Linked DNA regions of Rattus norvegicus. The protein of the gene in region 2 interacts with the protein of the main gene of each other region in a pairwise test. Links are inferred from orthologs where the notes say so. Each region holds a gene or a part of one and is shown on either strand. Other genes may lie near its edges.

Region 1 (4,363 bases), on a different chromosome or scaffold from region 2:
CCCATTGTACTAGCCGGACAGAAGGAACAGTAGGGGGGAAAAGAAAAGAAAAAAAAAAAAAAGAAAAGAAAAGACTCTTCTAAAATGTAGCCTGCCATCCTAGGGATGCTTGGTAATTACTTGTTGATTTAGCCTCGAGTGTTTTACTCTCCTTCTCCACGGGGGAAATAGAAATCAGTGACTTAACAAGCTGGAAAAGCTCAAAATAGAGGCCACTGGAAAATTGCTGCAGTACTTCTTAAATCAAAGGAAAATTACATTTAGTGTTTTTCCAGTTGCAAGGTCTGATTGCCTCTAATGTTGATTTCAAAGCAACAGAAGAGAGGGAAAAAAATCCCACACCAGATGCCATGGAGAGATGTGGAAACAAGGGCCAGGCAAGCACCAATGTCACAACTGACGACTCTCACTACGTTAGGGTTCGTTAGCTTTTTCTTTTTCCTCTCCGTGAATTTTTTTGGTGGTCTAGGGAAGCCCGGGTTTGCAGTCCACTCAGAATGATGATTTTAAATACATATTGGTTCATTTGTCAAAATTGTGAATGCATAAGTTAAAAGTACGGAGATACAAAGATTAGTTGGTTATACTTAGTAGTTAGTTATTTAAATACTAAAATAAAAGTGTAAAAGGGCAATGCATTTGCTTAATTTTTAACACATTAAAAACTACACATATTACCAAAATTCCTAAGGAGTGACATTTGAAACTTTTAAGAAACGATCTGCAACATCTGGGGTGTGACATGCTAGCATCCAGGACCTCCACTGGTGACAAGTTTGCCACCACTACCTTGTGTTAGGATAAAACTTTGCTACTGTATCGTATCTTAAAGTATCTGAACAGCTACTAAATACAACTGCTTATTTCCCCCTGTCTGGTGTCTCGTATTTAACACATTTAAAGTTGTTATTCCAAGGAGAGAACCCAAAATTGTTTACTTTATTTAAAACCATGTTGATATTAATACATTTAATCACCTATGTTTATAAATAAAATAAATGCTACATTTAGAATAAATGTTAATAGAATTAAAGATCCAATGTCTCCTTACTCAAGTTCACGGGACTCTTGAATTCTAGCCACACATCCCTAGGTATGTAGGGGTTAGAGACTCGAGTTAATAATGGTGCAAAAGGGGGTTGGGGATTTAGCTCAGTGGTAGAGCGCTTGCCTGGGAAGCGCAAGGCCCTGGGTTCGGTCCCCAGCTCCGGAAAAAAAGAACCAAAAAAAAAAAAATAATAATAATGGTGCAAAAGGTCTGGCGAGATGGCTCAGTAGGTACAAGCACTGGCTGTTCATTCAGAGGACTGGAGTTCAATTCCCAGTAGCTACTTGGCAGCTCATAGTTGTCTGTAACTCTAACTCCAGAAGAATCAGCCTCCTCGTCTGGGTGCCAGCCAGGAAAGTCAGGCACAGATACATACCCATACACATAAAAACGTTAAGGAAATAAAAAGGATCATACGCTTAAGGCCTGCCTGGATGAACTATCTCACTAAGGCATGGGGGCTGTAGAAAGCGCCTGGACTAATGCTATGTTAAATAAACTGTAAGTTTATTATATGGTCACCAGAGAGTAGCCCATTAACTGGAGAAAATGGCGATCCTCCAAGAGGAGATCATGCTGCTAATTGCTGCTCTTTGGTGCCCGCAGCTCCTGGACACAAAACCCAGGTCATCTAGAAAGGCACAAAAGTCCAAAGCTCACTGCATACATGGCTAGCCCCAGGCCTTCAGGCTCAAACAGCTCTTTTGTTCTTAGGGTTTTCAGTTTATCTCCTGCAACCCAACCCAATCCGTGTGTTTGTCTCTTAAGACTTGGTCCAGAGAGAGAGAGAGAGAGAGAGAGAGAGAGAGAGAGAGAGAGAGCTGGGCAGCAGTTTGGAAAGCTGAACAGAGGATGGATGGGGTCTGACAGCCAACACCAGGCACTGCTCTGCTCTCTTAAGGAAAAAGCACCAAGCCAGCAAGATTTACCGGGGAAGGTTACAAGGTGTGTGTGTGTGTGTGTGTGGGAATGGTATGAGGGTAGAGGGCAGTGAGATGAGAGAAGGAAACGACTAAAACACAGTTTATTTGAAACTGTTACAGCAATACCTAACACCTTATACGTTGATTTTTAAAAAGTTAGCCCATGCCAGTTCAAAAAATAATTAAAAAGTTAACAGTACAAGGAAGGTCCCTACCTATCTACTTAACCCAACCCACTCCCCATCACTGCTGGTCTGAGGTGTACACCCCATCCTCGCTCACACATACACATACACACTCACATTTTAGCACCCGCTATACATACTATACTATGGGCAAGCTTGTCTCTCTTAAGCAGCCCCACGTTAAGCTTTGAGTCAGTAGGACTCACTGGATACGCTTTGTGGGCTGCGGACTAATAGCTTTCATGTGCCCGGGACTTCGGTTCTGAGGCGCACTTCACACCAGCGCCTCGCAGCCTGCCTACACTTGACTCCTCCGCACATTTTGTCCAGTGTGCCGCTTGTCTATGAACCCTCATTTCCTATCTATCCCTTCTCCACCCTTAAAAAGAATAAGTTATCTCACCCACGGTAGCAAACCATTGACCTGCCCATATACATTATTTCGGGAGGCTGGGAAAACATCTAGTGGTCGAAATTTCAGATCTGCCAAGTCTCAGAGGGTCGCTAACAGATCTGGGGTTGAGATAAAGAACCCTGGGATGGAAGGAACTGTTTCTGCGTTCCAGCTAAAACGGGTTTGACAACATGCGTTAGGAGTCCGGACCAGCTTCCCAAGAGCCGCGCTATTGCCACTGTCCCGCCGAAAGTTCCCGGGTCACCCAGAGTCCCCTCAGTAGCTGCTCCCACTCCCCTAAGTCAACGCACCTTCTTGCCAGGAGCTGGGAGCTGGCGCGGTCGCAGTTGTCGCAGCGCCTGTCTGTGTGCGCCCTCGCCTGGACGCAGGGTCTCTGCCACAGCCTTTATAGGACACCACCCTTTGTCTGGAGGCAGGAGGGGGGCTTCCAGCCGAGGACTCCCTCCAGTCCCTCCCCACCTTGCCCCGTCAGCCCTCCCAAGTGCAGCAGCCAAGGAGCAGTGGAGGAAGAGGGTCCCCTCTTTGTCTGAGGCTTTAGGGGAGGGGTTGCTGTTTCCAACCTCCTCTTACAGGCAAGCATCCCAATACCTCGGACTCTTGCTAACTCCCCGGGTACTTCTACAAACACCAGGGCAGGTGTAGTCCGATCCAAATGGCTACCTCCAGATCCCCTTAATGAGTTTGAGAGATGAGGGCTGTGACCTGCAATTTTACCAACTACCCCAGGAAATGCAGACACAGAGCAAAATTTAAAAGCATCGCACTGGACACAGACTGTGGGTTCATATAAGGGTCTGGTCTAGTTTTTCCTGTTGGTCAGCACAGGGAATGGTTGTTTCAGGGATGGAGGGACTCTGTTCTTGTCTCCCTTCCTCTGTCCTGTATCTTCCAGAATGACCTGAGAAAACCCTAGTCAGACTTCTGTCAGATTCTGAGATCTAAACTCTTCGGTGGCTTTCCATTTCATTCAAAACTAAGCATACAGATGTAATAACATCTGCAAGGCCAAGCAAGAGGATGGGGCATCTGAAGCCGCCCTGATTTAGATAATGAGGGAAACCTTGTCTGAAAAGCAAGCAAGCAAGCAAGCAAGCCCACACACACACACACACACACACACACACACACACACACACACACACACACCAGAAGGAAAGCAAGCAGTAGACTTTAAGTGGCTACTGAGATCCCTTTATTGCTAGTCAGGCCGTCCTTTCCTCCCCTGGGCTTGACTTAGCTCCAGAGAAGTGAAATACTCCGGTTCATCCTTTCAGGAACACATCAGGCATCCCCCTGCCTCCAGCTTTGGCAGGGTTCTCTCTGCCTAAACGTGCCTCTCCCAGGTTATCCAGTAGAGGTCCTTCCCTCCCCTTCCTCTCCTGTGAATCAGGTCAGCACTGGAAGCTTATGCCCGAGTCAGGCCCTGTTTAGAGGTCAAGAGGATAATTCCAAACAAAACCAGACATAAACGTCTGCCCTCAAAGCGCTGGCATTCCTTAGGTCTTTTTACTCAGATGCCACCTTCCCAGTGAAGAGCTTTAAACTTTTTCAGATTACATTTATCCATCTATTGAGGGAGGTGCTCCCAGGCCAATGTGTGGAGGTCGGAGAACAACTGGAGGGAGGTGTTCTTCCACTGGTAAGTTTCAGGGATCAAATTCAGGTCTTCAGATTTGGCAGCAAGTGTCTTCCCTGCTGAGCCATCTCATCAGCCCAATACCTAAGAGCTTTTAGCATACAAAATTGTGCCCCACCCCCACCTCACCCCCTGCACACGCCAGAATCACAGGCA
Region 2 (4,528 bases):
TGTAGCCCGGACTGGCCTTTAACTAACTTTGTAGGGGAGGATGACCTTGAATTAGTTCCTAATGCTCCTGCCCCTTCCTGGGATTACTGGCCTGTGCTACCACAAACAATGTTTATTTTCACTTCAGATAGAAATGAAAGCAGAATAACAAGTTATGTATTTATCATATAATTTAGGCTTGTGTAGACATTGTAAAGATGTTTGTTTTCTTAATTTAAAGAACAAGGACTTAAATAGGAAAATGTCTTTTTATATACTGGAGGTGGGTTTTGGACCAACCCGAGGGTATGCGCACAGACACAGATTTTAATTATTCCCCTTCAGTATAAATTTCAGGACGTGGAGGCAAGAAAATGACAGGAATCTGTGGGTGTGGTTCAGGTTAGTGCTAAGGAGAAATCAGTGAGGATTTTGCTCTGTACCAGGAACCCAGGATTTCTGTTCTGACTTCAACAATCATCTTCAGGCTATTAAAGCCGTCTTTAAAATGGGACTGAAATGCCTACGTCCTTGATCCAGGCTGTTCTTACTAACGATGGATTCTGAAGGCACTCGGAATTTTCCTCTTCACAAACCTGAAGACTGTCCTCATCATAAGCTAACGGGACTTGAACGATCATTTCTGAACTCAGTTTCAAGGAACTCGAGGCCCGGGAGAACCTAGGTTTTTCTCCCTGCAAAACTAGCTAGCTAGAGTCCTCTTCTTTCCCTTCTGCATTTCTTTGTCCTTCTAGAACTTGCCTTCAAGCCTGAAGGAGAAACCTGTCCTTTTCTTTGCTTTATATAGGGCAAAATAATAGTAAGTAACAACTGTAAGGTTCTTGATTATTGGCAAGGAACTTCCTCCGGTCCAAGTATTGCTGATACTTTGCAGAGAGGGCCAGCCTAACCGCTGGAGTTCGCTCTTTGAAAGATGCTGAGGGAGGGAATTCTGCCGCCAGCAGATGGAGAGGAGACCCGGACAACGTGGTCCCTCCCAGCCACCCTCCCTGCGGGATTAGCTGCCCCCAGCTCTGCTCAGGCGCACCTAGCGCGTGAGGTCCCTGGTCATACAGCTTGCGTCCCCTCTCTGGAGCGCAGTCGCAGCTACGAGCTTGCTGCCAGCAGAGCCGCACTGTCTCAGGCTTCGTAGAGCACCACGACCGTGGTCTTGGGACCTCGAACCCGAGACGAGCGCTCGCTAGCCAGCCACTAGCAACGCTTGCATTTCTTTCCTGCTGGAACCGCCAGGTGGTTACTTTCAGCCTGAAACCAAAGGGAAAGGGCAGAAGGGGAACTCTGAAAAGGACGGTTTAGTGGCAGCGGGCTTCTTGCCCCAGGAGTGGTGCTCAGGGAAGACTCTCGGTCTCTGCCACGGGTCCCTTTAAGAAGCCAAGTCGGGGCTGCCGCCGTCGCCGCTGCTGCTGCTGCCGCCGCTGCTGTTTGGATTCCTAATCCCCAGGAGCCCCGTTTTTTTTTTTTTAAAGGAAGAAAAAAAGGGGGAGGGGGCGGGCAGCTGTCTCTTTAAATGTGATTTCCTTCTATTGTATTTGAATCGTGATCAGGAAAAAGGAAATGAAACCAGAGACAGAGGGAAGCTGAGCGAAAATAGACCTTCGCGAGAGAGGAGGGAGCCCCGGGAGAGCCGCGCGGTCCGCTCCCCGCCCCCAGGCCGCCGCCCCCTCTCTGCCCTCGGCGCCCCGACCCCAGCGAAGGTGCGAGGGGTTCGGGGCGGCCGGGCGGAGCCGGCGACTGCGCGCGATCGGGACCGGGCGGCGGCGGCGGCGGCTGTGGTGACGGCAGCGGGACCGGGATGGAAGGTTAAGTCTTGAGCAGCGGCAGCTGTCGCAGCCGCCGGAGGGAGGCCGGGCTGCTCCCCGGCCCCCTGCCTCGGCCGCCGCGCGCGGGGCAGCTGGGTGATTCGCTCTCTCTCTTTGGCGTTTGAAGGGAGCGCGGTGACTGTCCTTGAGCGTGGAGGGGCGAGCTCGCCGGCCGAGCGACCGAGCAAGAGGAGGCGCAGGAGCGGCGGCGCCCGAGCACCCGAGGGGGTCCGAGTCCAGGCAGCTAGCCAGCCACGCGCCACAAAGGGAGCGCCCCCGCCGCCCGGCACGCCTCCCCCCTCCCCAATGTCCTCGGCCATCGAAAGGAAGAGCCTGGACCCGTCTGAGTAAGTGTGGCGCTTCTCTCCCCGCACCCCACACCGGGTCCCAGGCAAGGCGCGAGGGGCTGACTTCAGGTGCGCGCCCGCAGCATGCCCTTGGTCCCTCGGTGTCGCAGGGGTTCTCTTTCCTCGCGGGTGACTCTGGAGACACCGAGAGGGGCTGGGCGGAACTGGAGGAAGCTGTAAACTGGGATCAACCCCGCGGACCGCTCCGGGCTATCTAGAAAGCTCCCCAAACCTTCACAAGGGCCAGAAAGTTTGCCCAGGAGCAGGCACCCGGAGCTCCGAGGCACAGGTGCAGGGCAGGGAAAGTGGAGGACGAGATTCTGCCTTCTCCCCTTTCGTCCCACCCTCTCCAGATTCCCTTCCTTTTTGTCTATTTGGCTTTGGAAAGAGGGGCATCCCAACCAGAACGTCCCTGGTGTCTCTGACAGTCTACTGCCAGGCCCGGAGTAGAGCAGATAGTCGATGAGGTCCGCCTGTCCATCTGGGGACTGGTTCTGGCCTCCAGAGACTTCTAGAATTGCTAATCCGGAGTTCCTCCGGGTGCATGTTCACCCCTCCCATGAGTCTCCTATTGTGGGCATGTGAACCTCGAAAGTTGGTTCTTTTTTTTTTTTTTTTTTGTTCCAGTGTGTTTTCCTAGGGAACAGAATCTCATCAAACTTTCAGAAGGGCTTGGGGTCAGCGAACCAAGAGTTGTATGAGTATGTACTGTCTTATGCTCTGAGCTTTGCGCTGGTTTGCAAAGAACACCCCCATTCCACAGCCTGTACCCTAGCCCATTCTCTAGATTTAACAAGGGGAGCCAAGAATGAAGGTGTTGGGGGTTTTTTTTGTTTTGTTTTTTGTTGGGTTTTTTTTTTTCATGTCCACACAAATGCCCTTTTAAGAATCATTAGCTGTCTGGTTTTGAGTTTTTATTCCTTTGAAGTCCTCATCTAATCCTTTGAAGGGATTTGTTAACACAAGACCAAAGGAGCTGGTTAATGACTTGTCCATTTGGGCTTTTAAGACGCATTTGTTTTGGTGGGGTTTTTTCCTCCTTTTCTTTTCCTGCTTTAAAAGAATTGTGCTTTCCTGCTGAAGTTTTCCTACTCGCCTCCCCCCCTTCAATTTCAGTCTTGTGTGGTGTTTATTTACCTGGGCTTTACCCTCAGTCAGCAGCATAAAAACCCAGCGTGTTCTCATAAAATACAGGAAGTCCCACGATCCAACGAGAATATAAACATCACTCTTCAGTCTTGAAGGTTAAGACACACAGCTCAGAAAGGAGCTAGGTTTGTTGACATAAAGACCAGCTTCCTTAAAATCTCAGGAAAAACAACAACCCTTTAAAAAAAAGAGTCGGTGTCTGTAGCTTGTTCCCTTTTAAAAATACATTTAAAATTACATCTGAGCCCCGAGTTTTCAGAGATTGGACGAGACATAAGATTACACAGTAAGGGAGTGGGTCTGGCGAACTGGTGTTTACTGCTTTCCTATCAGCACAATTTCACTATGAATCCTATATTAGACATTGAGTCTACAGAGTTTGGTACCTTAAAAAAAAATACTAACTGCATGGATGTGTGTGTGCACCTGAGCGCAGGTGCTCTGGAGGCTAGAGGTGATGAGTCTCCTAGAACAGGAGTCACAGATACTAGCACTCACCTGTTTTGCTTGTGGAGACTCCTGGGTCCTTTGGGAGAACAGAAAACATCCTTAACTGCCAAGCCTTCTCTCCAGCCTGAGGATTGGGTTCTGTAAAGGAAGTTCACTCTGACTAAAGTTTGTGTCTTTTTTGCCCCAGACTAGAAACCTGAAAGGTATCTCACAGCTGTAATAGTGAGCACCCAGTTCATGAGGTCCTCTAGTAGTTCATCCGTCCTACAGAATGTGCCCAGAAAAGGAAGGCTGTAACTGAAGATGGGCAAGCCCTGTGGGAAATGTCTGTGGAACATTTCCCCTCTGTCTGGGAAATTTTTGAGAAATTTTACCAGAAATCAAAGCTAAAGGGACACTCAGGTGTCCTATTTAGGACAGGCTGGTAGAAGGATATCAAATATTAACTTAAGGTAAATCTCATTCAGTCTTTGGCTTGAATTGTTCACCAGAGAGAATGGCATGTCATTAATTATAGAAAGGTAAACTGAGTCAGAGTCTGGTCCTGTCCATATCTGTCCTCAGACCGGCATGTCTCGTTCTCCTGTATCTCACTCTCTTGCCAGCGGCCTCACCGAGTGCTTGCTCGAAGCCAGCTTGGATCTTCACCATCGCATCTCCAGATGCAGGTCAGCCCTTGCCTAGGCTTGTGCAAAGGTATCATGTGCACAGGAAGCCAGAACTCATGCACAGAGATTTCCTTCACCATGCAGTTGGTGATCCCTTCGGATCATCTTAATTCTG
Region 3 (4,294 bases), on a different chromosome or scaffold from region 2:
CGGCTCTACAGAGCGCTCGAGAGCTGAGGCTGTACTCAGGGAGATAGAGTGCTTGCCTGGCACGCACAAAGCCCCAAGCCTGAACCTAGTACCTACAAACGACAGAGCAAATACTCATGAGGTAGAGGCAGGAGATTCAGTAATTCAAGGTCATCCTCAGCTACTCAGTGAGTTCCACACCAGTCACCTGAGACCCTGTCCTTAAAAAAAAAATTGGATACTATGAATATGAAAAAAAAAAAAAGTCCAGAAGCCAGTATAGCCTCAAAGGAAAGATGTTCCCAGTAGGAAAAATGTCCTCAAAGAGAACATCCAAGTCGAGACACATGCATGGAAAGACTGGCGTTCCAAACAAATATAGGATGCCACAGCCCTGCTCGCTAAGGGTTTGTTTATTCCTGAAGAGCATGCATGTATCCACGACTTCCTGTTTCACATCTCTGTAACACTCACCTCTCCGGTCTGAGTCAATGAAGAATTCTTGCTGTTGAGATAATTCTCAGCCTGAGTCGACTCCTGTTGAGCTCGGCGTCCCATCTTGGCCCCCTGAAAGGAGAGACGGAGAGTACAGCTGACCCAGTGTCACCTGAGGCCCTGTGGGTATGACATACAGTAAGCCAGGACTGGGCTTTTACGGGATAGCAGAGAACAGGATCTGAGTAACGTGTGTGTGTGTGTGTGTGTGTGTGTGTGTGTGTGTGTGTGTGTGTGTGTATGATATATGAATATATCAAGTGGAAATATTCATAGAGAATTCTCTAAACCTTTATGAGAAAGTACCCAAGTTAGATCTACTTGGTAGAATAGGAAACATACAGGTTATTGATCGTGAGATTTTCAACAGCCACAGTTACTGCAAAAACAAAGTCACTGTTCTGTCCTGTTCTGTCGATGACAAACAGAAATGCAGCTAGCCTGGGCAGTGACCTCAAGTCATATAGCCCAGAGCAGGTGGTAAAGGCTCCCACGTTCCTAGACTTGAGGCAGCTAACAGGCTTTAAGAGAGAGTTCCTCAATTCTATGGCAGCCTAGTAATCCAGACACCTCTTGCTCTGCTGGTTAGATCTGCATCTACAGGCATGGAGGGAGCTCTACCACAGGAATGCTGAGACAGCAGCCTTGGCAGCTATAAGTGAGCACCTCAGGATTCTGAGTCAACAGACGAAACATTTGCAGGTGTCCCCAGGCCCTCCAAGTGGGTCGGGCCTCTGTTGCCAACACTCCCCAGAACAAAAGGAAACTCTGAGGCACACTGATGGGTGCTGAAGAGTATCTGTGCAATCATTTAAAACAAAACAAAACCAGCACCAGCATAACATCTTCAGGTCTCATTGCCGGGGCTGTGCTCCAGTCTCAAGATGCTATGGACAAAGACTGAGACCGATGGAAGCCAGGACGGTGATTAAGTAATGTTCGAATTTAAATCCTATGTTCGTCCCACATCCCCAGAGCACCCCACTGAAAACCTGGTGCTAAGTGTTCTAAGAAGGGAGACTAGGGTTTCCGGAGAACCACATTAAACAGACAGAAATCACTAAAGTGGAATCTGGCCATCCAATTGCAACCATCAACTCTTCAAGTTACAAGGCCGATCTTTTGAAGTTTCAAGGGTGACGGGAATAATTTTTCTGATGATACAGTTCATATCTTTCTCTAGAAAGATACCCTCTTTTGTTTGTCCAAGTATCTGATTCTACAGTAGTTACCCTGAACAAAAATGATCCTGTCTGTAAACGTCCTTGACAAGCGATTTCTCTATCAGCCGTTAATGTTTGAGACTATTTGAAGACCCTGTAAAATTCACACATAGAAAACCTGAGGTCATGTATTTTAAGGGCAGACTTTTTATTGTCTTTTCCCCCTTATCCTTCTCCCCCTCAACTAGAGCAAAGGCCGGTGGTCTGTTCTCTGCTATCTATCTCTCCAGTGCCCAGAACAGCGCCTGATCCACAGCAGGGCTCACTACATATTTGTGGAAAGAATGAAATAGTCACTACATTCACATCCCAGGTACCAAAAAGGTTCGTGTATCAGAAAGACTTGGTGGCCTAATGCCCGTAGCTTTTTAAAAACCCTGCTCTATTAACTTCTGCCCCTTTATCTCCCTCCAATAGGTGCCTCTCTAGAACCTTGGAGGGCATAAGATGGTACCAAGGCCCTTCGGGGCACCTGAGATTTTACATCAGAAACTAAGGACTTGACAGGCGGCCCAATTCTTCAGTGGTTTCAACCAACTCTAAAGGCTATCCAGACCTGGTGGGCACCGAGACCTGGTGGGCACCGAGACCTGGTGGGGGAACTGTGACAGTAAGAAAACACTGAATGTGGGTCTTTAATCAAGTTCTGTTATTTGCTGGCTAAACGCCGGTCATAGGCTGGGAGGAAACAACAGGAAGGTCAACGAACTGCTGCAAATGCTTTCCATGAATCGCCCCATTTCATCTGCACAGCAACACTAGCATGGAAGTCGAGGCTAGGTGTATTCTGGTCCATCAACAGATCTGTCACCTAGTTACTCTCCCCATCCCCAACCCCCTACACATAATAAAATGGAGTATTGATTTCCAATCCTGGAGGGGGAGCAGAGATTAGAGAGCATGAGGAAAGGACATCTCCAGCCAGCTCTCTTCTCAGTCTCTTTCAGAACTTCCGGGACTAGACTGCCCTAGAGAAAACTCCAGGGCGGGAGCGGGCGTGGTCGGAGCGGGGTCAGACCCTCCGTTAAGGTGGAATTCGCACTCGGGCAATTGGGCCAGGGTCTGTCCCGACTCTGGGCTTCTCAGAGAGCCGGGCCACTTGTCCCACCCGCCAAACCGGACCCCAGCCCCCAGCATCGCTCCTCACGGAGGTGGCCGAGCTGCGACGTTTCTCCTCTCCCAGATCCAGTAAATCGTCCATCACCGCGGCCGCTGATGTCACTTCCTGGAAACAGCCGTCTCCGCCGCGTCCCTAACAACGACCCCGCCCTTCCATCCCAGTCCTTAAAGAGTCCGCCTCACAATTCCTAGGTCCTGTGTGTCACCTTCCAATTGAAACCAGATCTTTCCTACACTAACTTTGCTGGACTTCGGAGAAAACAAAACAAATCGCCAACTAGCAAGATCCTCTCTAAGGTTGCTGCAGAGAGGTTAGCCCTGGGGACTGCCTAGATTCGTAACTCTGATTAAACACGGTTGTGAGTGGAAGCACTGCTCTCAGTGATTATTCTGAGCCCTCACATTCACAATTGACAGAGGCCTTCAGAGTTACTGTTCAAGGATAGACGTGCGGTGTTATTTCCATTTGATGGATGAGCACCAATGTAATAAATAGTTTACACATTTACAATGACTTGCAAAAAATCAGTGTGTGTGATTTCTGCCTTCAAGAGGTTTATTGAAAGCAGTCATACATGGTGATGCACGCCTGTAATTCCAGAACTTGGGTGTTAGAGGCAAGAAAAATTAGTTCGATGTGACAGGGGCCATAATCCCAGCTTGTTACTTAGGAGGATGAAGCCAATGGACTACTTATGACTAGGAATGGGACTCCAGTCTTGGCAACACAGTGAGACTCCATTTCAATAGAAATAGAAAAGAGGGTATAATATTGGGGTTCTAACTTAATCTGAACAACCCCACAAAGTGGGTAGCAATGACTCATCTTACCAGCAAGACAGACAGACAGAGGAAAATGACTCCAGTCCCAAGTGCCGGGACAGCCTTTGTAACACCACATGTTACTGCAGTGACTTCCAGCACGTAGTGGTTCCCAGCCATCCTCCTAGGCCTGCAGGAGATAGCCCACAGACAGCCTAGGGGGTAGTCATGTTGAGTCTTCATTGATTCATTCTACATAAAATCCCTAAGTCAACATCTCCGGCCAGTTCTTGGCACTGCTCACTAGGACTCACAGAAAATGGAATGTGGATCTCCACAGTTCAAGAAGCACTGGGAGGGCTGCACCTAAAGCTTAATGACAAGCATTGCTGAAGTACCCAGCAAGTGACATTCAACTCAAGGTTTCAGTGCCCCTTTTACTGAGCAAGGCCAAGCATTTTCATGCCCAATGACGCCGGCCTGCGAGTTGGAAGAATTGATTTCTCAGCCCAGCCTTGCTTGACCTCAGTTTCCTTCTGAGATCCTTACTGGCTTCTCGGTGAGAATATTTTGTTAGATTTTAATCAGACAGAACAATCAGTGCCAAAAATCTAAGCCAGCTTCAATATAGGCACCAACTATTCCCTTGTTCCTTCTTCCTTGGCACCAACTGTGCAAGAAGGGATTAATGTTTGAATTTTTCAACTTCTTGTAAA

Evidence for each region.
Region 1: the proteins of Lmo2 (region 2) and Tal2 interact in a two-hybrid assay, tested with the Homo sapiens proteins (2 studies listed by BioGRID and IntAct). The link is inferred for Rattus norvegicus from reciprocal best matches to the Homo sapiens genes LMO2 and TAL2.
Region 3: the proteins of Lmo2 (region 2) and Ift43 interact in binary tests that used the Homo sapiens proteins (3 or more experiments, as listed by UniProt). The two-hybrid records come from large-scale screens. The link is inferred for Rattus norvegicus from reciprocal best matches to the Homo sapiens genes LMO2 and IFT43.

Annotation. Positions count from the first base shown.
Region 1 is NC_086023.1:73,204,938-73,209,300, reverse strand, and holds the start of Tal2 (T-cell acute lymphocytic leukemia protein 2), read right to left. Parts: upstream 2,930-4,363; 5' UTR 2,862-2,929; intron 1-2,861.
Region 2 is NC_086021.1:110,819,882-110,824,409, forward strand, and holds the start of Lmo2 (rhombotin-2), read left to right. Parts: upstream 1-1,571; 5' UTR 1,572-1,792; coding exon 1,793-1,799; intron 1,800-1,926; coding exon 1,927-2,146; intron 2,147-4,528. UniProt on the Homo sapiens protein: Acts with TAL1/SCL to regulate red blood cell development. Also acts with LDB1 to maintain erythroid precursors in an immature state.
Region 3 is NC_086024.1:111,459,386-111,463,679, reverse strand, and holds the start of Ift43 (intraflagellar transport protein 43 homolog), read right to left. Parts: upstream 2,930-4,294; 5' UTR 2,899-2,929; coding exon 2,845-2,898; exon of another isoform or gene 2,835-2,844; coding exon of another isoform or gene 2,820-2,834; intron 547-2,819; coding exon 454-546; intron 1-453. UniProt on the Homo sapiens protein: As a component of IFT complex A (IFT-A), a complex required for retrograde ciliary transport and entry into cilia of G protein-coupled receptors (GPCRs), it is involved in ciliogenesis.